Drosophila melanogaster: one gene and its partners. Changing the gene in region 1 together with any one later gene gives a genetic interaction. Each region holds a gene or a part of one and is shown on either strand. Other genes may lie near its edges.

The links.
Region 2: of aop (region 1) and H, changing one suppresses a phenotype caused by changing the other (phenotypic suppression), as found in Drosophila melanogaster (3 studies listed by BioGRID).
Region 3: of aop (region 1) and ttk, changing one enhances a phenotype caused by changing the other (phenotypic enhancement), as found in Drosophila melanogaster (3 studies listed by BioGRID).
Region 4: of aop (region 1) and pan, changing one suppresses a phenotype caused by changing the other (phenotypic suppression), as found in Drosophila melanogaster (2 studies listed by BioGRID).

Annotation. Positions count from the first base shown.
Region 1 is NT_033779.5:2,175,663-2,180,800, forward strand, and holds the start of aop (anterior open), read right to left. Parts: upstream 3,093-5,138; 5' UTR 2,185-3,092; intron 1-2,184. UniProt on the Drosophila melanogaster protein: Ets-related protein that functions as a negative regulator of photoreceptor development acting antagonistically to pnt and the proneural signal mediated by RAS. It acts upstream of SINA to inhibit R7 development.
Region 2 is NT_033777.3:20,620,276-20,628,218, reverse strand, and holds the start of H (hairless), read right to left. Parts: upstream 6,282-7,943; 5' UTR 5,724-6,281; coding exon 5,721-5,723; exon of another isoform or gene 5,636-5,720; coding exon 4,921-5,635; intron 4,849-4,920; coding exon 4,675-4,848; intron 4,089-4,674; coding exon 3,328-4,088; intron 3,178-3,327; coding exon 1,626-3,177; intron 1,460-1,625; coding exon 1,431-1,459; 3' UTR 1-1,430. Other genes in the region: CG5466 (uncharacterized protein), read right to left, coding at 7,864-7,943. UniProt on the Drosophila melanogaster protein: Is a potent antagonist of neurogenic gene activity during sensory organ development. The expression of distinct cell fates by the trichogen (shaft) / tormogen (socket) sister cell pair depends on the level of H activity.
Region 3 is NT_033777.3:31,711,706-31,716,876, forward strand, and holds the start of ttk (tramtrack), read left to right. Parts: upstream 1-2,161; 5' UTR 2,162-2,564; intron 2,565-5,171. UniProt on the Drosophila melanogaster protein: Binds to a number of sites in the transcriptional regulatory region of ftz. Isoform beta is required to repress inappropriate segmentation gene transcription and repress genes incompatible with development of photoreceptor cell fates.
Region 4 is NC_004353.4:88,546-93,371, reverse strand, and holds the start of pan (pangolin), read right to left. Parts: upstream 3,018-4,826; 5' UTR 2,159-3,017; coding exon 99-2,158; intron 1-98. UniProt on the Drosophila melanogaster protein: Segment polarity protein. Functions together with arm to transduce the Wingless (Wg) signal in embryos and in developing adult tissues.

The DNA of each region.
Region 1 (5,138 bases):
TGCTCTTTCTCTTACGTCGTTTGTCTTTCGCCTCACACACACACACACACACACACACACACAACAGCACACATTCACCCATTCCCCATTACGTTGTTTCTTTTTGTTGGGAGCAATGCGGAAGTGAATTTAATTTATTGTATTTACGCTGCTTTTGCCGCTTTTCTGCCGCCGGCTGGTCACCAGGCCAAGTCTCTAGGGGAACCAGGAAAGGAAAACAGCCAAGCGAAATCGCAGCTTCTACAAATTTTATTTCGTTTCCCGCTAATTGAAGAGAGAAACTGTTTATTTTTGAGAAACAAATCTTAATACATCCGTGCGCACAATCATAAGCAGGTAAGTAGGGACAGATTAATTTAAAGACATTGCGTTATAAAATTATTTACCAGCCTAGGGGATTGTTTACGTTTTATTTATAATAGGTCTTTGTGTTTACCGATAAGATATTAAAGCTAATAGAACATTCAATTTTTTTTTTAAATTTTAAAAGTGACTTTAATTTTAAAAGTGAAGTGAAATTTTCACCACCAGTAAATCATTCTTTTCCTTGGGAGCTATTTAGTTGACCCAAACAGTGCATGTGTTTGTTTTATACATAATGAAATTTATTGGCGAGAATTCTGCTCTCGTCAAAAAAATAAAATAACGGAGGTGGCGCACGATCAGGTGTGTGTCTAGTTCGCTCCCCCCACCGCCACCCCCTGAAATCACATACATACATATATACCTTATAGCTGCGGCAGAAGCAGGAACTGTTTGGCTGATTTGTTCGACGTCGTCGGTCGGCAAAAGCAAATAAATAAACACAATTCCGCTGGCTGTTTTACTTTTTTTAAATGTACATACTACATATATGTATATGCACATAAGTATGTACATACGCTTTTATGACAGTGTGGGCATTTCTTTTCGCCATAGCGCCCCTGCGATAAGATTTCGCTGACGCTTGCCAGAGTCGCCGGAGTCACCCTAATTGGAGCTCAACGCTCCGCTTTTGTTTCACTTCACTTCCATAGAAAAGTGCATGCAACAAGAGACTCGTGAACCGAACAGAAAGAACGATTCCGAAAGCCCGGTTCTATAGCATATAGCATATAGCGCAAAGCACACCGATATGCACTCCGATAATTACCGTTTTCATCATTTTTGTGGCGGAAAACTCGGACCTGGCCAATATGATGCAACGGGCATTACGAAAAGCACCCAGGTACCGTAATGTGGAGTGGAATGTGAAAATAGAAGAGGCTATTTTCCAAGTGAATCGATCTTGTTCGTATTGTAGAATGCTAGGGAATCGGTGAAGCGTACCGTGCATACAATGAGAGTCAAGACACTGGGCTTGGGAAGAGAAATTACTATCATATCATATTGTTACTAGACTGAGCTATGAGTATTTGCATATGGTTCTCAACCAACCACAGGTAATAATTAATCACAATCCAACTAGACTGTAAGAAATATCTAATCATATTTGGAAACAAGAAGAACATACAACAAATTATGCGCAACAATCAGATAACAAAACAATAATTAAACTATAAAACCACTCCCAAGATCCCCATAAAATTGTAACTCTTATTATTTAAACAAGCCCCAAATGAAAACGCCACAATCAGATCCTCTGAACAGGCAAATAAATCAACTAAACCTTAGATAAACCGTTGTTGCCGAGTCTTCATCCATCTCATATGAGTGTACTGCGAACCAAATATAGCCCAAGTTATCTGTTTACACGTGTAGATCCGACAAATTGTTGACCTCAACCAGAGACCAAAACTCAGACATTGTAAGACGTCGGGTGGAGCGAAGTGGGGAAGTCATATGCAGCAGATAACCAAAGCCAGATTAAGGTGGAGCAATTATTTATCAGCTGCTCAGACAAGACACTTTTCTGTTTCCATGACCATTGTGACGTAGTTATGGGAAATACATGTACCAAAAGATGGTGTTTTAACCAATTCGTAAAAAAAAGCAACGACGGCAATGGAGTGATACAGGGGTAATGTCTGTAAACACCGATTCTTGCACGATTACGAATATAAAAGAACTCCAGATATAAAAACCATTGTGCTTACATATTGAGAAAAAATGTTTTTATTTTTGACACTCTTTTCTGCTACTATTTTGACAATGGTTAATTTAACAGTTCACAACAAAAAGTATACAAATTATCAAAATTCTCACCTGTTTGCTCCACTGTGCACTGTGGTTACGTACTGTAAGGTGAGTGAGTGAATTTGTCTGTTTGCGTTGGGCTTCGGATTCGATTCTTGAGCTTTTTAGCGACAGAAGCAACGCGGAAGCGGATATGTCCAGATCCCAGAATGCTTTAGCTTTTGCTTCGCTTTCTTGTTTTATTTTTGTTTTTGGTTTTGTTTCTGTTAATTCGATGTTGTTCTTGTTGTTATCTGCTGATGACGAAGAGGGCGTCGCGCCAAGTTGCCATTGTTGTTTGTGTTGCTGTTTCCTTTTGGTGAGGGGCGCCGCGTGGGCGGTGGTTGTGTGCTTTTGGGGCTAATCCAGGCTCTCTGTTTTTGTTTTTGTTTTCGCTTCGTTCTGCGACAAATGCCAGCCGTAAAGCGGAGCAAATGAATAAGAAGAAGGCGAAGTCAAGCGTTTTTACTTCCGCCGCCGCCTCAGCAGCACGCACACACAGGCAGACGCGGGCACACAAACGCACACGCACACTGTAAGACACTCACGCGATGCACTTGCACTCTGGCGTTTTGTTCGTGTATTTGTTGTTGTACTTTGGCATTTCCTCTTTCGTCTTCCTTTTCACTTTTGCTTGCACTTCTTGTTGCGTTGCTTTGCTCTCGCTGATGTTGCTGTTGTTGTTGGCGTTGTTGCTGTCGCTCTTGTTTATTTTTTATTTCCGTTTCGCGCACACACACACCGGGCAATGTAAACACACACCGAGTTAAGAAGAACCGTTTATTTCCTCAACGCCGCGCACGAATTAAATTCTATTAATTGTGAATTAATCAATTTAAAACATATTAGTTTGCCATTTACAGCAGAATGTCTAGTTGCTTTCAGGAGCGACTCTTCTACACGTCCGCCCAGCACGGCAGTTTCTTTTTGACTGCCGATTCGATTCGAACAGGCGGCGAACATGAACAAGTCGGCGCATGCGGAGAGAGAATCGAAAGAGAAAGAGAAGCAAAGAGAGCGACATACAGCAAAAACAATTCAAAAAGAACTGGTGAAGAATACGAAAATAAGATAATTTTTTAAGGAAGTCGCGCTTTGATCCGTATCCGTTTTAGCGTCCAAGATTTATATCTTAAATCGGACCTATATTTTGAGGTACAGTGAAGCTTTGATGCGCCAGTCTTATATGAGTTAAAGTTTTAACGATTGAAAGACACCCCTGAGCTGCTCATTATATTTCAATATTTATAAACAATCTTATATCAGAGCTTGAGAGACTTGCATGCGCCACAAAATTCCAATTCCAATTCCGGAATAATTTCACAATAATCTCAATTAACATACGTATTTTATGTTCGTAATTTTTTAAAATTCCCAGATTCCCCACAATTGCCATAATAATCTCGATTATGTTATTATACTCTGAGAAGTAGGAGTGTGTGCAAAGACCACAAACAAATCATTAGGCGCGTAAACATTTACAGATCCACCATCCACTTCCTTGGCAACGAAAGAAGCAACAGCTCGCAGAGGTAATAATTTAAATAATTTAAAACCCACCAAAGTTTACTACGAAACAACTCAATAGGCAACCGCTGTCTGTGGGCGGCGTCGAATTCGCGTGGGGCGCTCGATTTAGTTGTTAATCAATAGAAGATAAAGTTTAAACAAACGATTCATGCTGATACCAGAAGCATGGGCGCCGAAATACCAAGGGATCGTTCTCTCACTAGATAACATACACACCTATTGTGACTGGAAACTTGAAATGATCGAGCATGCCATACCCATTAGCTGTCAATTGTGACTATTGGCGAGCTTTTTGCACATAAACCATAGATAAGACAATTCCGTGAACTCTAATCAGTGTGCGATAATGCTCTCAAGCATTTGAAATAATTATGAATACGACCCCCTGGCCGAAAATGAAATAAGCGCCACGCGCCTGGGAAAAGCGCTCTATTGTAATACAAAATGTTTGGAGGTGCTAGCTGATAGGTGTTTTCGATCCCATAAATCTTGGATCTTCATGGAAACCAGTTGGCAATCTTTAATTATAAATTGTTGGAACATTTCCGCTCGGCTGCGACGGAAAATCTCTTTGGAAAGGGGGCGGGGCTGGGGTTCCTCGTCAGGTTGCTTGGACGGTCGGTTGGTCGGTCGGTCGGTGGGCCTGAAGATGCGCTCAGTTGCACTGCATCCGCTTTGGGGTCTCCAGTCGCCTCAGTTGGCTAACCAGTTTCTCCCCGAGCAACGAGCAACGTTTACGTTGACATTTCAAGTCAAATGCCCATAAACGGCGACCAGCCGGACGACCCCGCCCACGCCCTGCACGCCCCTGCTCAGTTCCGTGGGTATGCACTGAAAGAAAATCTAGATTAATGGGCATTTAGGTAAGTAATAAATAGTAACATGTATTTTTATGGCTATAAATAGTTTAGCGAGTAAGCCTCGTGATATGAAACATTAAAGAACTTTTAGATTGTGACTCTAATTAAGAAATATAATAGAGATATTTTTTTCAAGTGCTATCTTTTCCGTCGATAGCTGCGATGGCGATGACGACGTTTCCAAGTGATCGCCGCAGCGACGATCACTGGCCCAAATTAGTAGCTTCGGTCATGGTGCGTCGCCCATCGGGAAATTCCAGGGTGAAAGGGTGGCTGGCGGAGGAGGAGGACGGGGCGGAAGGGGCAGAGCTGCCGATGAGGATCGCACAGGGGTCAGAGTTCAAATAGTCGTCCAATTGAGCCAATCAGCGTTTGTACATCTGTATTTCGCCATTGCAATGCAACCAGTACGCCTCTGCTGCGCCACCTCCCACTCCATTCAGATCCATCCGACTTGTCGGGTGATCGCTATAGTCGCAGCTCTTAGTTCTTAGTTGTTAGTTCTTAGTTCGATGCCTAAGTGCAGATAATTCATTAAAATAGAATGCCAATGTCCAGAGGCGGAGGCAGCGGCAGCCAAGTGGCATCCACTTG
Region 2 (7,943 bases), on another chromosome or scaffold:
TTTTATTCTGCGTAATCAGATACAAAATATACAGTTACTTGTTAAAATCCGTTATAAAAATAGTTATATTAAATATATTGGTTATTTCTCGCGTATTGATTAACTTTTTGTTGTGTAAAAATACTGTATTTACAATTACACCTATTTACTTACACATTATCATATCAGTAAATATAAATAGACATTTGATTTATATAAATAATTTAGAAAATATGAGAAACCGCGTTTTGTTTTTGTCTTTTTGCGTTAGGAATATGTTTTTTATTTGTATCAGTTTCAGTTGTACGAGTTCCGGTTTGAAATTGTCTGCTTAGGATCTTTTTGCTTTCCGTTTCTTGTAAATTTGTCGTATATGTGGATTTTTTGTACATTTTATTTGTTTTTGATTGGACAGCCACTGACAGCGAATGTGCACTAGGCACAGTTATATAATATTTTTGATGGTGACAACAATCGTGGAGGTTAAATTTAGATCCGCCGAGGATTTAAATTCAAACTTCAACAATTTTTTCGAATTTTAGTTTTTACAGTCTACCAAAAAATGTAAGACCAAAGAGTAATCTCTTTCGTTTTGAAGTACAGACGAGTTGTATAGTTTTGGATTGCTTTTATCTTTTAACTATTTTAGAATAATTATTCCGAAATAATTAAAAGATACATTTTTAAAAGTACTTAAAAAGTTGGTGTCGTATACAATCTGCTTAGTGCAAATTCCTGTCAACTGCATTTTGGACCACGATATCAAGAAATTCTAAAGTTTTCACCATAGAATACCTGCACATGCTTGCACATAAATGTTTTTATAGTAAACTTCTTTTTCTTTTTAATATTAATTTTTGTATCCCTAGTTCTGTTTCCATTTTTAAAGGCACAAGCATTTTATAAAAATCTGTTCTTGTAGTTTTGTTAAATATACTTTAAAATGTTATATTTTGCGATTCGTAACTAAGTTTTTCATTTTTTTTTTCTAAAAAAATTCAGGTTCAGTCTGTTTCAAGGAAATGTTTTGATGAAAAAAACGTAACTCTTTTTTGAGATTCTTTAAGACTTGCATTTTATACATCCTATAGAAAATGTTTTTATTAGTATTTCTTTCCATTAGTCGGCATAGAATAAAATTCCTTTGCATATTTTATTCAGTTTGTCGAAAATAAAATTTCTCAACTGATTGTATAAAGAGTTCTGGAACGGGTTTAAAAACAAAGTTGAGTTTTTCATCTCTTTTTGTATGCGATTTCTAAATGTTCGGCCCTAATTGAGAACCTAGGATTAGGCTTAGGATTAAACAATCGGGTTACAACTAAACTATCAGCGAACTTATCAAATTATATTACGTGTATTGAATGTCGTCTTAAGCGCTACTAGTGCGAAAATGTTCTTAACTCGAATGGTTGGCCCAGAAACTGGGGCAGCTGGGGCGTGTGTATGTCTCAGTGCTTTGACAGATTCAGTGGTAAGTCTAAGGAAGAAATAAATAAGAAACGTTATTAAATTGTGTTTTACGTGCATTAAATTGACAACATAATAAATGGATCTGTAATATATTTTCTTCAGACATTCCCAGAGGAATGAAAATTGAATCATCAAACTGCTTGCCATTATTGGTGCACTGATTGAATGCTTACCTGAACTTTGTTCATTCCTTAGACTACTAGTATGAAACATTGCGGAGGAGCTGGCGCCCGAAGTGGCCGCCGAGGAGGAGGCCGATGCGCTCGAGCTGCTCGGCGAAGTGGAGGCTGTGCGATGACTGGACGTTGCAGACATTTGGTCGGTACTACTATCAGTCAGTTTTGGCGTGGCCAGGTGAGCGGGAGAGTGGTGGGTGGTCAGTGCAGCCGGGTGCGGATGCTGGTGCGGATGGGCCAAGTGCGGATGCGTGTGGGGACTGGGCGCCGGTTGTCCAAAGGCTGCCGCAGCTGCTGCAGCGGCAACAGCCGCTCCCACTCCGTTATACGCGAACGCGTGATAGGCCGATTGGGGCGATAATCTCGCAGCAGCAGCTGCAGCAGCGGCGGCCGCTGAGCCACCGGGTTGTGGATGTGGCGACAGCAGGGGCGACGCTCCTGTCTGATAGTGGTGCATCCACAGCGGATTGTGCCTCAACGCCGCCAGTGTGGATATGTACGGGTTGTATATCGAAGGCGAGGGAATGTATGCGGCTGCGGCCGCTGCTGCCGCCGCTACTGCAGCTGCACTGCTGTTCGACGTGGGCGGCGCCGAGGTCGGACTTCCGGCCGAGCCGTTCCCGTTCACCTGGGGCGGTGGCGGGTACATATAGTAGTGCAGCGGCGAGCTACGCTGTAGGTGCGGCTGCTGCTGCATGTGCCGCCGTTCCGGGGGCGATGCACTCCGGTCGCCGGGCGAGGGACAGCTACTGCTGCTGGCCGACGGTGAAGCGAACTCGCGTCGGATCGATGCAGTCTTTTTGGGCACAGTACGCGGCGTCGTGGCTGGCGATGCTGGGGAAGAGCGCGGTGGCGACAGGTCCTGCGATGCTGAGCCCGATGTGGAAGGACGACCTGCTCCCGCATAGGGATCCCTGTAGAAGGAGTGGCCATAGTCTACGGGTGATCCCGCCGAGTACGGTGGCGAACGCTTCTTGGTTCCTGTATGCGAGGGCGATTTTCCGCCCCCGCCATTGCTGCCACTCACATCGGGCGACTTTGGCGAGGTGAGCAGGGCGCGTGGATAGCTCGAGGAACTGGGTTGGTACATTGAGTGCTGTGGATGGTGCACATTGCTGATAATAGCTGCCGGGTGATCGCCGCACTTCTTGCCAGAGGAGGAGAAGGATGAGCTACCGCTGCCACTGCTCCCACCTAGCAGGGAGTGGATACTGTAAGAGCTGTTGAGCCGCGTTGGCTGCGTTGACAAGGTCGCTGGCGAAGTGCTGGATGAGCTGGAGCCGGGACTGGGGCTTGGCTTTCCTTGGGGTGGCGCCAAGTTCATTGGTGACGCCTTGCCAGCCGGAGACGATGTCGAAGTTCCCTTTGCTCGACTCCGTTTTCCTCCAGCACCACCGCTACTAGCTCCACCGCTGCCGTTGTTTACGCATCCGTTGTCCTCTAGCGACACCTTTTCGAACTCGCGCAGGATTCTTTTCCTGGGCGACACGTGCTGGGTGTGGTACTCGACTAGTCGTCCGGCTGCTGTCGCAGAAGAGGGTGGAGAAACCTAAAAGAAGATATTTAAGTGGTCAATTCAAAGTTTTTTCTTTATGAAAGTCCCTAACTAGATTTACAACTTTAACATAATAAAAATGTTGCAGTACATGATTAACATTTGAAACCGCAGCTTATGCAGGTTGTGCCAAGTAAAACTTACTTTGTGCGTCAAGGCGTGACTTAGACCGCCACCAATGCGATCTGAAGACGTCGTTGTCGATGCGATCACAGCTGATGTCTTCGACATTTGCTCAAGCCGTGCTGGTACGCTATCGATGAGTTTCTGAATGATGCTGCTGAGCTTGGCTTTTGGCTTCGGCTTGGATTTTGGTTTCCCAATGCTCGCCTTTAGATCGCCGTTTAGATCACCATTTACGGCATTCGTGATTCTGGGCAGCTCTGTCATGGGTTCCTCATCCTCGCTCGTATTCATCTTCATCTCAACATCAACAGTCTCATCTTTTGGTTGTGGTTCCACTTGCTGACCGGGCGATGCTTCTTTTGACTCGCTATCATCGCTAACCGCCTTCTTCGGCTCCTTTTCGAGCCGTTCAGCATCATCCTCGCCTTTGATCGTGTCCGGTTTTTCAATTTTAATCTCATTTGTGGTTGTGTCCGCCACAGCAACATTTTCAATTTCAACGGCCTCTGCAGCTTCTGCTTTAAGAGTATCGTCTCCATTTTCCGCCTTGATTGCCGTCGCAAAAATGGGCTGCTGATCCTCGCTGGTGGTAAGCGGCTCGTGGGGGCGCCGTCGTTTGCGAGCGGCTGTCCGGAGAGCAGCTCGGCCAAGCGTACTGTTCCTGGGGCGGTGGAAGAAGAGCGACAGCTCCTTAGATATGCCGCGCCTGGGTCGGGACTGTTTCCAGGGCTGGTCTCGCTGCCAAGGAGAGGATTGTATCGAGCTGTTGTCGTCCGAAACTGCAATGAAGAGGAATATTAACGCAAGGTATACATAGACAAATTGTAGTAGTTAATTATAGTTTGGCATAAATAAATATTTGCTTTTGTTTGATTCAGATTGTTAACAATTTATGAAATAGGATTTAAATGTATACAAGGATGGGAGGACATTATATTTTATAGGATCGAATTGGAAAACTGTCATACAAAGAACATGACCGATTCTGAACAGTTTGGTTTTTTCTTACTATTTCATTAAAACGTTTGACATTTTCGTAGATTTTAAATATAATATTAGAGATGGCCGATATATACAGTTTTAAAATAGATCAGAGATTTGAACATAGGTGCGGTCGTTTTTTACAGATTTTTTGTTTTCGAAATTGGACTTTATCCTCTACGTGCCATTAGAACAATTTAAGTCAAATAGGCACATGTTTTTTATAACTGCAAGTGTTTGTAAGCTTTGACCGCTCGGATTAAGCTAGCTATCTACACATGTTTCAAAATCCAATTCCTTTTACTCAAATCTGATTCCAATCGGGTCAAGTAATTAAATGGAAGGGGTAATCCGTTGGGAACTACTATGCCATGTGTTACGTACAGCTCAGCGATGTGGAATTCTCGTTCTTTGGATACGCTGTGGTCACCGCCGACGTTGGGGTCACAGTTGCGGAGGTGGCCGCCGATGGAGGGCGGAAGGTCTTGCGCGTGACCGAAACCCAGCCGCTTTTATCGCCATCCTTGGACCGCGCCAGTTCCAATATGAATTTGCCATCTACGCAGAATAGTTAAAAAATGGTTTTCTTTACACTGCTCTGATTCGGTATAAATAAACCAAGATACTTACCTTTAAAGAACTGCAAACGACCACCGTAGCCGCCCCAGCTGTTGTTGCCGTGCGTCGATATTGGTGTCCTGCCCATATCAAAGCTTCCGCCGGAGTTGCTTCCCTTGCCGATCTTCGCTGTTCCCGCTGCCGCCGCTACTACTGCAGTGGTGGGCAGTGAGCCTGTTGCAGCTCCGCCCAAGGAACTGTAGTCCAGGACGCCCCCCAGGACATCGATGGTGGGCTTGGACGCAGTAGCTCCAACGACGCTGGCTGCCACTGCGGCGGACGCAGCCATAATGCTACTACTTTTGGGCGTCTTGGCATGCGGCAAAAAGCCATTTGAGGCGGTGGAGCTGGAGGATGAGGGCGTTGTCGTTGTCGTGGGCGTGGTCGTCCTGCTTAAGTTGGCGGGCAGAGGCGGTGGCAGAGGGGGGTAGCTGGTGCTGCTACTGCCGTTTAGGCCATTTTTCAGTAGAAACTTGGCGGCCGCCTCTGCAATTATGCTACTAGTATTGTTGTTGCTGTGGCTGCTCTCGTTGCTGGTGTTGTTGTTTTTGCTGTTGCTGCTACTTGCTGCGTCGTCGTTGCTGTTGTTGTCGTTATTGCTGCTGCTGCCGTTGTTGTTGTTGTTGCTGGAGTGACTGCTGTTACTGTTAATGTTACTTTTATGCTCATCGGTCATTGTTGTCTGTCTGTTGCACTCTGCTACGCTTGTGACGTCATTAAGCAGGGCCTTCAAAGAGAAACATTCGTTTGCATTGGGCAAGTTAGGCACAATTTCGCATTTCCAAACCGCATTATATGGACAATTTAAATACCATTTAATTCATTGTTTTTGTTGTAAATTCCTCGCGCAAAGTTCGCGGCCGGGAAAAACGGAGCCGACGGCGTCGCTAAGCAAAATATGCCAGCTCGGCACGGCGTTAGGAGCGTCTAGCACCATTTTCATGTTTTGGGGCACGGTACCGTTCCCTATTTTTATTGCACACACATATTCTTATTGCATTTTGGCCATTGGCCCATTCCACTGTACGTTATTTAACCAATTTCACAGGCACACACGGCGGGCCGTTCTGCTTATATGTGTTTCTTACAGGCCCAAATGTTAAGCGGAGGCAGCGCACAAAGAGAGCACAAAACGAAGTGCGGACAAGGTGGAGATAAAATGGAAAAAACGTTCTCCAATTACCGTCAGCGTATATATCGATTGCCGAATAGTGTGTGAAAGCGGAGGTCGGTGGACCGGACCGATAATTCCGTGGTCAGCGGGCAGTTGGGGGCAGCTCTATTTCCAACCAATAAACTAATAAATAAATTTAAAAATTATCAACGAAAAACGCAGCTCGGTGCGCTGTGTGACCGTCAACTAAGAACGTCAAAATCCACGGCGCCAGTCAGCATGCTAGCAAATATCATGTTTCCACTGGCCAATGTTATAGTGCTGCATTCGCTGCACGTTCACATTAATGTTATCTCAATGTAAGCTTACACACAGGTCGCTGCAAAAAGCTAGTGCAAGGAACTCCCAAAATAAAATGCTTAATAATAAAAAGAATTGTGTTCTTTGAACTACATCTATTTGGTAAAAATCCTAAATCCTATATTTTTACAATTCAAGTCAAATAAGATTACGAATTCTGGCAATTAGCGATAGTTATCAATGCTTAAAAGCACAATCTTTAGCGAACGATTTTTAAAATAGTAACGGTTTTAAATATGAAATAAAATAAACAACTAAAATCACAATCGGGACAGTTTATAAAACGTAATAAATGGTCGCTTTTTATAGCAATTGTTCAACTCAACTTTAATTTCAGGATTGAAATTGGAAAACTTTGCAACCGAAAACATGCTTTTAAAAATGTTTGATTAAAACAATGTTGTATTTTCACTAATTTATGCTGTTTCCAAAATATATTAATTAAATTTCTAGCACCTGAGATTATTAATTTGGAATACCTGTAGGGTTTTAAAGATTTTCAAGGCGAAAGTTTAAGGATATGACTTAAAGCAGTTAATAATGTTACATTGAAAAGTTCTTCTTTGTCGTAGAATAAAATATTTATTTATTATTAAGTCCAGAAGTTAAACATTAAGCGATAATATGGTATGTTACGATAAATTCCCACACATCAGCTAGGTAAATACTTATGGTTGCAGGTGTCTTTTTATTGCGTATAATACTGTTTGCTCGTTTATCGAATTTCTGGTAATGGTGAGCTCGGGCGGGTTAAAATATATATTTAAATAGCCCTTGCATGCGGAGTACAACCCTTCTTCAGCTTCTTAAATTTAAACACAACTCGTAATGTCGCTTTCGCCACCGCGGCCATCCGCCAATTGTTATTCAGATACTCTGAAGTCCTAATGCAAAATATAATGTAAGTCTTACGCGTCTATCATGTCCGATTATCAGTAGGTTAGTTTAAGTATAGGCTACATTCGAGTTGCTTTTGATATGGGCGAAAAGTCGTCGATTGCACGAGAACGGCTAAGAATATATGCTTAGTAGATATTGCACAAAGTAAAAAGTAAGACATTACAACAGAGGGCACACAACGTAATAAATTAAATTTAGTTTTGTCTTCCGTTTGCCAACATAATTCAAATATCACAGACGTTTTGCCAATTGTTTAACTAATTTGCCGATTTGCTTCATAATTTTGCATGCCAAACTGGAAAACAAAGAGTGATGGGAATCAAATTCAAGCCGCGGGATTCGATACATATGTATGCCTAAAGGTCAGTCAAATGTGGAAAATGTGAAATCAAGTCTTGTGTTGAACATGGCACGTAATTGCTAAAAGGAAAACTGGAGCCACGCCTACGAGGGTAAATTGCTATGCCTATCATCTATGCTTTTCTCTGCGTGTAAGTACTAAGTGTTCTCTAACTGCTGGAAGAATGTGAGTGGATAAATCCGGAGCTATTGCATGCTACCCGATGAGCTCCAGCCCGCATCTAGTGCATGTTGCCCGATGGCAGACCCAAGGCGGCGCCCAGGTTAAGTCCTGCAGGGACACCCACTCCTACTCCCGCGC
Region 3 (5,171 bases), on another chromosome or scaffold:
TCAATGGCGAAATAAAGACTCGCCCTCGCCTTGTGGAGAGTTTTTAATTAAAAGCAAATTTCATCTCAAATAATGCCGCTAAGCCAGCAACAACAATTAAGCAATTAATTTATTTCAGCTGTGTGGCACTTTGAATAGCGGGAAAAAATCCAAGCCGAGTAGTAAATGGCCCGGCAGGCGGCCAGATCGGATCAAACCTGTTGAATCGCGGTCCCAGAACAGAACAGTTCTGGGCAGTTCCCCTTCGAGAGAGAGTGCTTAGCCAAGCGGGTATACCAGATACTCGTCCCGTCCACTGACCGTATTTCACGAGGCAATGCAAATTGTCTGGCTACAGAGCGGGGTTAAAAGGGGTGGGCCCTAGGCAACCGAGGGATGCATTTGGATCGCCCTGCTGAATCACTTCAGCGGTGATTCATGCCGAGAATAAACGTAATTGTCTGTGGGCTCCATCGAAATTAGTTTCCAAGCTAATGTAAGCTTGCGAAACAATAAAATGGTGTGCAAGGAAAGATCAATGGAGGGTATGGCGGGTTATGCAAGCCAATTTTTCACCAGTCGTATAACTTGCTCAAAGCTATCCCCATACTACACGCTTTCATAACAGAGGGTCCACATATGTAGATATGTTTAAAACCAAACCTAACTAACCGATTGTACTTAAAGAAAGCGATTAAGGCTTCCATTATCAGCGTATAAAGAGAGAGATAACGGCCTTCCTAGACATGTCTTATCTGTCGCCCAAGTCTGGTCCCTCAATCCTTTTCCACTATCAGCGGTGCCAAAGTCAAAGAACTCCCATATCTATGCCAGATATATAATCTTAGATGCGGGGAACTGTTGCCGTTTCCCAAGAACACGCATTGATTGACGGTCTTTCCCATGCATGCCTAATGATCCTTCAAATGGGCCCTAATAACGACCAGCCCCCCTTGGGATCGGATCAGGTAACGCCCCGTCCCGGGGGTTACCCAAAAAGCGACACGCTCCCAAGACCCATCAGGCAGTTGACCAGTGGGTTACGTGTGCCATCGTGCACAGCAAAACTAGTGTATAAAGTTTATATTATCTAAGGTAGCGATATTTTCTAAAACGTAAAGAAACAATTACGTTGCAAACAATTCTCTCAGTGCAGGGCAACCCCAGCAACAATTATTCAACTTAAAGTCGGTGCAGCGGGGAAAACATGGAATCATTTCGGTTTCAGTTAGAAGTGTGCGCGAGCGTTCTCGAAAGGGGCGCTGGGGGGCGGGGCAGTCGGTGGGAGGTTGAGCGAATAAGAGAGTCGAGCATACGAGGCACGCTTTTCCGATCAAACCAGTTTGTCGTAATAGCTGGCATTTGGAATTAGTTACTGCCGATATATTGCTGCACTTGGAATGCGCCCAGATAGAAATTCCCGCACCACGCCCCTCGGCGACGATCCTCCCCTTTGAATAGAGAGTTGACTATTTTTAGCGGGCACCAGAACTTCATTAAAATACAATCAATTTGCAAGTGCAGCGCGGAGAAAATAACAAACAAGCACCAGCCACCCACTCTCTCTTTCTCCTCTCTCTCCCCCCCCCCCTCTCTCACACTCTTCCATACTCCGGTGTTCCCAAAGAGAGCGGAGAGATGGCATTTATGCTGAGCAGGCACAAGCAGAGAGGTGAAGATGGGACTGAAGAAGAAGCAGCCGCTGTGTCGGCAGAATGAAAACGAGGACGACCAAACTGCATTGTTGTCATATTTCGTAATACGCTGATGCAGCAGAGAAGCGAAGGGGTGGTGGGCGCAGAGGTGGAGCAGCAGGTCACGGCGGTGAGAGAGAGCGAGAGCGCAGGAGACTTGTTTTCAACACCAGCTTATCAGCGGGAGAGCGCGAGAAGAAAGAGCATAAGGGCAGAGCGCCAACGCAGCGGCGAAATGGAAATGTCAAGTTGGGACTGCGCTCTCCCTCGCTCTCGCTGCCAGCAGCGGCTGCGCTGTTCTCTTAACCATTTGGAGCCCCATTCAAATGTTCGATTCTTGCCATTCCATTTCGTCCGCTCATCCGTCCACATCCACTTGCGTTTTTGGTGCCCTGCGAGCGGGAGAGCAATGTGAAACGGGAGCACTACAAATACCGCCCACTACCACTACCAATTCCCATACTCCCATATTCCATGCTATTCCCAGCTCAGTTCGTGCCGTGTGATCAAAGCTTTCGGTAAGGCTTCGGCTCGGCTTTGTGTATCCACCTTAGCGGCTCTCTGTGGTGCTCGTTCTGCCTCTCTCTCTCTCTCGGTTTTGGGGCTCAGCTCAGGGACAACAAATGCGGTAAAATGGCTTCTGCGTCGACGTCGACATCCCTGCCGTTTCAGTTCTGATTGGAGGTTCGTGCGCGGCGTTTCCTCAGCTGATTTCTTTGCCTTTTGCCTTTTCGCAACCCGCTTTCGGCTCCGTGTTCGCCTCGGTTGCCAATTACGTGTAACCAACAACAAGAGAAGAAACAGAAACAACAACAAGTACTTTCGAGTGTTGCAAGCCTTCTTCCGCCGAAGAAACCGCAAAACGGATTACCAAGAATATTTGTAAAATTGGTAAGTGGTGAGATTATCCACGAAATAGTCTTCGAAAAAGGTCAAATCATCAAGTGTTCAAATTTAAACGACAAGTTTAAGTATTCTTATTACCTTCTTAAGACTTATCTTGAATCTCAGATGAGGATTTTATTGATTAAGATTCAAAAGTTCTTTAACTGGCTTTTGTTTCTGGAGTCCGTAGTGATTTTTTTAAAGATTTGAATGTTCACTGAATTATATTTTTGGATTAGAATCTAATCACTTTAAACAGGACATCGCAGGAGTCGAAAACAATTGATGACAAAATCAGCAGTTAATAGCTTTTGGATTACAGAATTATAGCAATAAAAGCCTGACAAATTGGCCAAGGGTCGTTTTGGAAATCTAGCAGTCTTAAAAGCCTAGCAGATACATTTTCTTCTAACAATTTCCCGCTCACACGCTCAGTACATGCACCAACACACGCCTATTGGAAAGACGCTTTTGTATCCAACTTATACAGATAGTGGTACAGCCACAGATACAAATGCACACATGCCGTATACGGCACATGGGGAGTAATGCCGCCACACTAGATACCAGATACTAGATACATAGATTCGTCCGCCGCTTATTTGTCGGTCGTGCTTCAGTGATCTCTGTCATTTGCAGTTGCCCATTTCCTTTTTTATCCCCCACTTCCACATCCAGTCGTCATTCGCCCGGCGCACCCCTTTTGATCACTCTTCCAGTTCCAGTGCCTTCTGGTGGCTTCCAGTGGCTGCAACACTTGCGGTGTTTTTCTGAATGAACCAATGGAGTGAATGTGTGAATGAGTAATCCATGTACGCAACATGTTTGCACTGCACAAATTATTTGGACTCAATGTATTGATTGTGTAACTCGGCTTTACGTTTATTTAATCGCAATAACTAAAGTGAGCTACAACTCTATACGTTGGTTACTATTCTTGGGAGGAAGGAAACCTGACAACCCTGGCCAAGGGGCAACTCTACACTTGCACCTGTGCTCCACGCTAAGCCACAAATTCAATTATGCAAATCAAGATCACAGCCCAAAAAACACAATCTTCGTCTCCGATCTGCATTTGTCTTTGTATGTTATGTTTATTTGTTACTTCTGTCGTTGTTTTTAATTCGCTAACCCACTTCACACAGTGGCAGCAACAACAAAAATCGTGAATTATACTTTGTATTGGGGCGAAAAGGAAACGAATGCCCAGTCTCAGATCACACATAAATTTTGCGGTTGTTTTGTTAATGAAACGACAAGAGCAGCACTATGCGCTCTTTACTATATATTTCCCGCTCTCCGCGAAAGCTTTTCTGTTTGTTTGCCCCACACACACAAAGACACTTGTGAACACCTTGCGCTCACTTAACATTATGCTCGAATTATAACTGTTGTTTAGCCGGCGATCGAAACGGTTAAAGCAGCAATGAAAGAGGGAAAAGAGAAAGAGGATGACATGACTAACAACGCAAACGCGATCTGAACATATGCATTGTTGTTTTCGCTCGTAGAAACCCATAAAAAGTCGAAACAGTAAAAGTCCAAGCGGCGTATACGCAATATCAGCGGGGGATAGGAAAAGGCAGAACTCTCTTATCTATTCTTCTCTCACTCTCCCTTAAGTACACAGGGCAAGAAATGTTAAAACATTTTTAACAAATAATGATTGAAATAATACAGGAAATTTTTCCGGTGCATTGGTTTAGTGCACGTGACTCTTTCACAAATTCTACTTAAATGTATCTGCCATCTTGCGCCGATTTCCTGCCCCTTTTTCGTATTCAACAATTATTCGGAACCAAATTTGCACAATACATTCCTTGATTATTGTTATTTAAAATGATTTTATATTTATTTATTTCATTCGCAAGTGCCAGCTGCCATGCTAAATAAATGTCTGTTGTGCGCGGTTTCCCCGTGTATATTCATGTGGTATACCTTTTCATCCACACGATACTCCTTTTCATATTCTGGGGCTTGTGGCATTACAAGTAAATGAAATTTTTCTTGAATGCATTTCTGATTTGAATCACCTTCGCGGAGAACGCCAGGTATTTCGCTTTCGGGGTTCTGCTGCCCCGATTGCCCATCCTGATAGCATACAAGTCGCGCGTGTACCCCATATATCTCCTTTTTTAATTAGCAATCTGCACAAAAACTCCGACTACTGCAAAAACCTAAATTCAAAAGTGGAACACAAACAAAAAACGCTCAAAAGTCAGCAAAAAAATGAGGAATCAACGAAAAATACAAGAAACAGAAAAGGTCAGTGACCAAAATATGTTTTGTAACTCAGGCAGAAATCTTCGCGAAAAGAGAATGGGCCGAAAAAAGCTAAGCAAAAGACGGAAACCAGAAGGCAGCAGTGGTAACCCTCCAGATATAGTTACAGTTGCCCAAAGATCATAAATTTTTACTTACATGGATATCAAAGATTCATAATAAATTTAAAGAACAATTACCAAATAAAACCTAATGTTATTTCTTAAGGATTTCTAGTAATTTCCGGACCCCAAACACGTAGTTAGGCTTATTTCACAATTTCCGCCTGCTGGCTGAAATTAAATATTTTTTTTACCGTTTTAAGCCTTTTGCAGGCCTTACAAGCATACA
Region 4 (4,826 bases), on another chromosome or scaffold:
TTCATTAAAGAAAATAGGTACTATTAGGAGTGAGCATCGACTTCAACAGTTTTACAAAGAAATAAAGGGTTTAACCAAGTAAGGCGAAATAAAATTACATGTGTTTTGTCTTGCTTCCAATACTTAAGTCGTATGGGGCATCTATCATTGGAAAAATTTCAGTTTTCATTGATCCGGCATTTCCCTGTAAAGCGCATAGGCGCTCTTTAAACAGGTTAGTTATGGAAAGTTCCTGCGCTGTTAAAGATGCATTAGCCGAAGACAATGTCTTAGTAATTAAATGGGAAACATTTTCAGTTGGCAATGCTCTAATTGATGGCGACGTTTTCAGCTGATTAGTGATTTCGTTGTCAACATTTCCCCTTATTGCATTCGATTTAAAAGAATTTGTAGTCAGAGTTTCAATGTGCCTTGCAAGTCTTTGTTTTCTTCGGTTTTGACTTAGCCCGAAAATTCCAGAAACCATTCCAGTAGAGCATCCACTATTACTACCAGTCGATGGGGTTGAAGGTGCAGTAGAAAACTCAGGAACAAGTAGAGGATCGGTAACGATTGACTCAGCTGAACTTTCTCGATTGTAATTAAACACAATAGGCAATTGCGTTGTGACATTATAATTTTCTGTAACATCTGTTAAATTTGATGCAGATGTAAGCAAGCGAGAGGTTTCAATGTTAGAAGATGAAGACAATGAAGCATATTCTAAAATAATCTCAGCTGCAGTGCTACAAGGCTCTACGTCTTTTTTGTGGCGAAAGGTTTGCCTTGTCGAATGCCATATGCAAGTGGGTGCTGAATTTGATTCTTCGCAATCGCTTTTAACACTATCACTGTAGGATTCATGAGGGGTGCTAGCAGAGCTGGATTGATGCATATTAACAGATGATGCGAGTTGTAATATTATATCTTCTATTTCGACCAACGTTTTAGGTTTTGCTGAGGTCAAAAAAAAATCGGACTCACTTTCAACATCTGGAATCTTAGAGTGCACTGCATTTGTTTTCTGTGGCAAAATACTTTCATTAGACAGTGCTATAGCAGCTAATGCCATGATAGTATGTGTTGGTGTAGATGTATATTCACCATCTTCCTCTGATGGGAGTCCTAATCGTTGTAAGCTGCGAACATAATAGAGCTCAGCGCTGCTCCATTGATTATATAATCGTTTTACCTCTTCCAGTAAGTTTTCAATAGACTTGCGATTTCCATTTAGTTGTCGTCTTACACTTTCCTCAAGGGCTGAATTAGAGCCATTATTTACTTCAATGTGACTTTGACGTACACTTAACCTTTTCCTAAATTTACCTGAGCTATCTGAGAGATTATCTAGTTTTTTTTTAATGTCGATAAGAATGTTTTTTTGCTCCCTGATAAAATCACACGTGTGTTGTAAGTCGTACCCATCTAGGGCTTCCTTGTTCGATTTTAATTTTGGTGAGTAACAATTTTTGTCGTCTTGTTTATTTTTTTGTTCTGCTCTTTGATGAACGTTAGAAAATTCAAACAAAGGGGGATCTACACAACTTATGCTGTTTTCGATATCTTTAATTAACTTAATATTGTTATTATTATCCTGCGAAGATGGGGTTGACAGAAGCTCATCTTCTCGAAGCATGGTCTTTTTAGATCCCGAATAATGAACCATGTTGAATTTATTCGAATGAAATTCCCGTTCAGCTAGCTGAGACCGAAGAAGCCGAGCGTATAAAAGTTGTGTGGCCAAAAGCTGCTGCTGCGAGCATGGCTGCTGATTTAGCATACTATTCGTATATATACAAGAAAACATTTCATTTCGTTGGCGAAAACTGTCATTTTGCCAATTTTCTATTTCTTCAGCGGTTTGCCAAGGCTGAGAAATTAATTTATTCGGACTTAAAAGAAGTTCGGAAAACGATGCCTCCATTCCGTCTGATCTACTTGATGGTACAATACAAACTTTATCCAAATCATTGCAGTTATATTGTTCTATTTTGTTGGCAGTTAATTGCGTATATTGGTTATTGAACCCACCATCAGGGACCTGGCTCGTTTTCAAATTGATTGAACATTTTTTATCGTGCTTTTTTTGTAGATCCTCATTGCTCTTCTTTTTCTGGTAACTGATTAATTCGTTTGAGTTTAAATTAATTTCACTATTAGTTGTTCCACAGTGTGGCATTATCGGATTTTGTGGGAGCCTGCTGTTAAAATCCGTTCGGTGTTAGTCATTCGTTAACTTTTTGTTTTATATTTTATTTATATTATTTATTGGATAAATTGTATTTCAAAATTTTAAACATTTCTATTAACCTTTAGAATCTTAGTTCACCTTGATGACTCAAATTTAATTAAATTAGTACTTTTTCAAGCACCATTGTACAACTTTTCAACATTTCATACAGGGTTCGTTGTTTATAAAATTTTCTTGCAATATTAATGAGATTTAGATAGCGTAATATTTATGTTATAATCCAGAATCCATGCGTTGTTTTCATTTTTTTAATTATATAGAAATCTCATTTTAATTAACGTTACCCTGTTGCTCGACTGTTGCAATATGAGGTCGTAATTTTTTTTTGTTTTATTTGTTTGTTAATTGTAATTTCCACATTGTGTTAGAGGAAGCCACAATTGTTTTACTTATTTAGTTCACTGTTAATATGGTCAATAATCGGTTTATATACTATCTCCATTTATTCCGACATATTTATATTACTAAATCGATCAACACTATATTAGTATTATTATGGAAACAAAAGATGACATCCTATTTTTAAAACTTATATTTAATTTATAAATACACTTTATATGTAAACACTCGATTTCATCATACACTTCGTGTTATTATTCTACTTGTGTTCTAATGGACAAATCGAATAAAGATTATTTTTTTCATTTGTGTTCATAAATTGTTCTTTCCGGAAATTGTTCAACTATTTTTAGGCATTGATTCCTTTAGATAGATTTTTCGCAAAATTGTATATACTGCCACAACAATTGTCTGATTTACTCTCTTTCGGTCTTTAAAAATAAAACTTAACGATAAAGGTGTACGACGCGGAACAAGAGAGACAAGGACGAGCCATCGGCTCGAAAATAACTGCGTGAGAAACATTGCGCACAAACTTTGTATCGAGCACATGTTTGTAACGAATTTGTAAAAAAAAAGTAATAGATACTATTAAATTTGTTTTTTTTTTCATTCTTAATTCATTCTTAAGAAATAATAAAGTTGTTTAATCTGTATTTTAAAAATATGTACTTCTGTGTAATGTGAATTTTACTGCTGCGTAAATTTACATTTTTACAAGTAAAATCGCAAAATGATGTATTTTTACAAATATTTTACATGAAAATATTCATAGCATCCAATGTTGGTACGACTCTTTTCAAATTTGACTTTAATTTACATTTTTTCTATACGTAATTCCAGATTAAAAGTAACCCATTTTTTAATTTTATTCATATTTTGTGTATGTATGTTAAATTTTTTGGATTTTACCTGGCAACATAACACGTGCAAAACTCAAGTGCCTTCAGATATAGATGGCGCCATGTAATTTCAAATCATATCTACGAATATATATATTTATATATATATGTATGGGCTTCAACAACGGAATACAGTAAACTAAACAATATTATATTAAGCTTGAGTTAAATTTAAATTTTCTAGACCACCTTAACTTAAAGCAAATAATTTAACATTTTGATTTAAAAAATATTATCAAAATATTTTTTATAAATTAGTACTTGAAAATTACATTTTTCGAGGATATATATTAGAAATTTATTTATTCACTGAAAACGGTTGAAAAAATCGGTTGATTCTAAATTAAAGATGTGTAAAACTTCTTATCACTAATCTTAATTGGCCAATTCAACTGTTTACTTGCTCATAATTATGTTCGTTAGTATTAATATGTCTTCGAAGAAAGTTTATTTTCGGTTGTCAACAAAAAATATATTTGTATATATATATATAAATATTTTTCGCTTTTCACAAAGAAGTTTTTTAGACAAATAAAAAACCTACTTTAATACATTTTAAATCCATGCATTTTAAAAAAGGCCTCTAAAGTCCAGTGACTCGACCTAAGAAAAAAGCAAGAGAGAATGCTATAATCGAGTTCCCCGACTATCAGGTACCCGTTACTCAGCTAGTGTGAATGTGAAATTTCATAATTTTTCTGGGATGTCAATAGATATTGAGGAGTAAAATGAAAAAAAATTTTAAAATTGTTCCAAGGCGTGGGAGTGACTGGTTCGGCGGCTTTAGAGCGTTAAAGTGAGCGTGACAAAAATTGAAAATCGATAGAAATTTACAAGACTAATAAATCTAAATAAAATAAAAAAAATATCAACACGTTTTTCAAAAGTGTGGGCGTGGAAGTTTTGTGCGGCTTGTGGGCGTGGCAACATGAGTCAACAATGTGGCGCTGCGTCTTGGTCTCTAGGATCTGTACGGTGAATATCAACCTACTAGCTTTTATAGTAAACAACAATTAAAATAGAAGTATGCAACAGCTAGATGGAAGCCTTTACGATATATATTCTCTTAGTATATATATTTAGTATATATATACATTTAGAATAGATATATTTAGTATATATATATATATATTTAGTACATATATATTTAGTATATATATATTTACTATATATATATATTTACTATATATATATTTAGTATATATATATAGAATACATGTTCCTGATCACTAGCAGAGTAGTTCCGGGAACTAACAAACCTAGAAATGTTAGGTTTCGAAATCATAATAGTTACACTTTTTGTTGAAATTAACATATATATTTATATATATTTTATATTTAGGATATAATTTTTG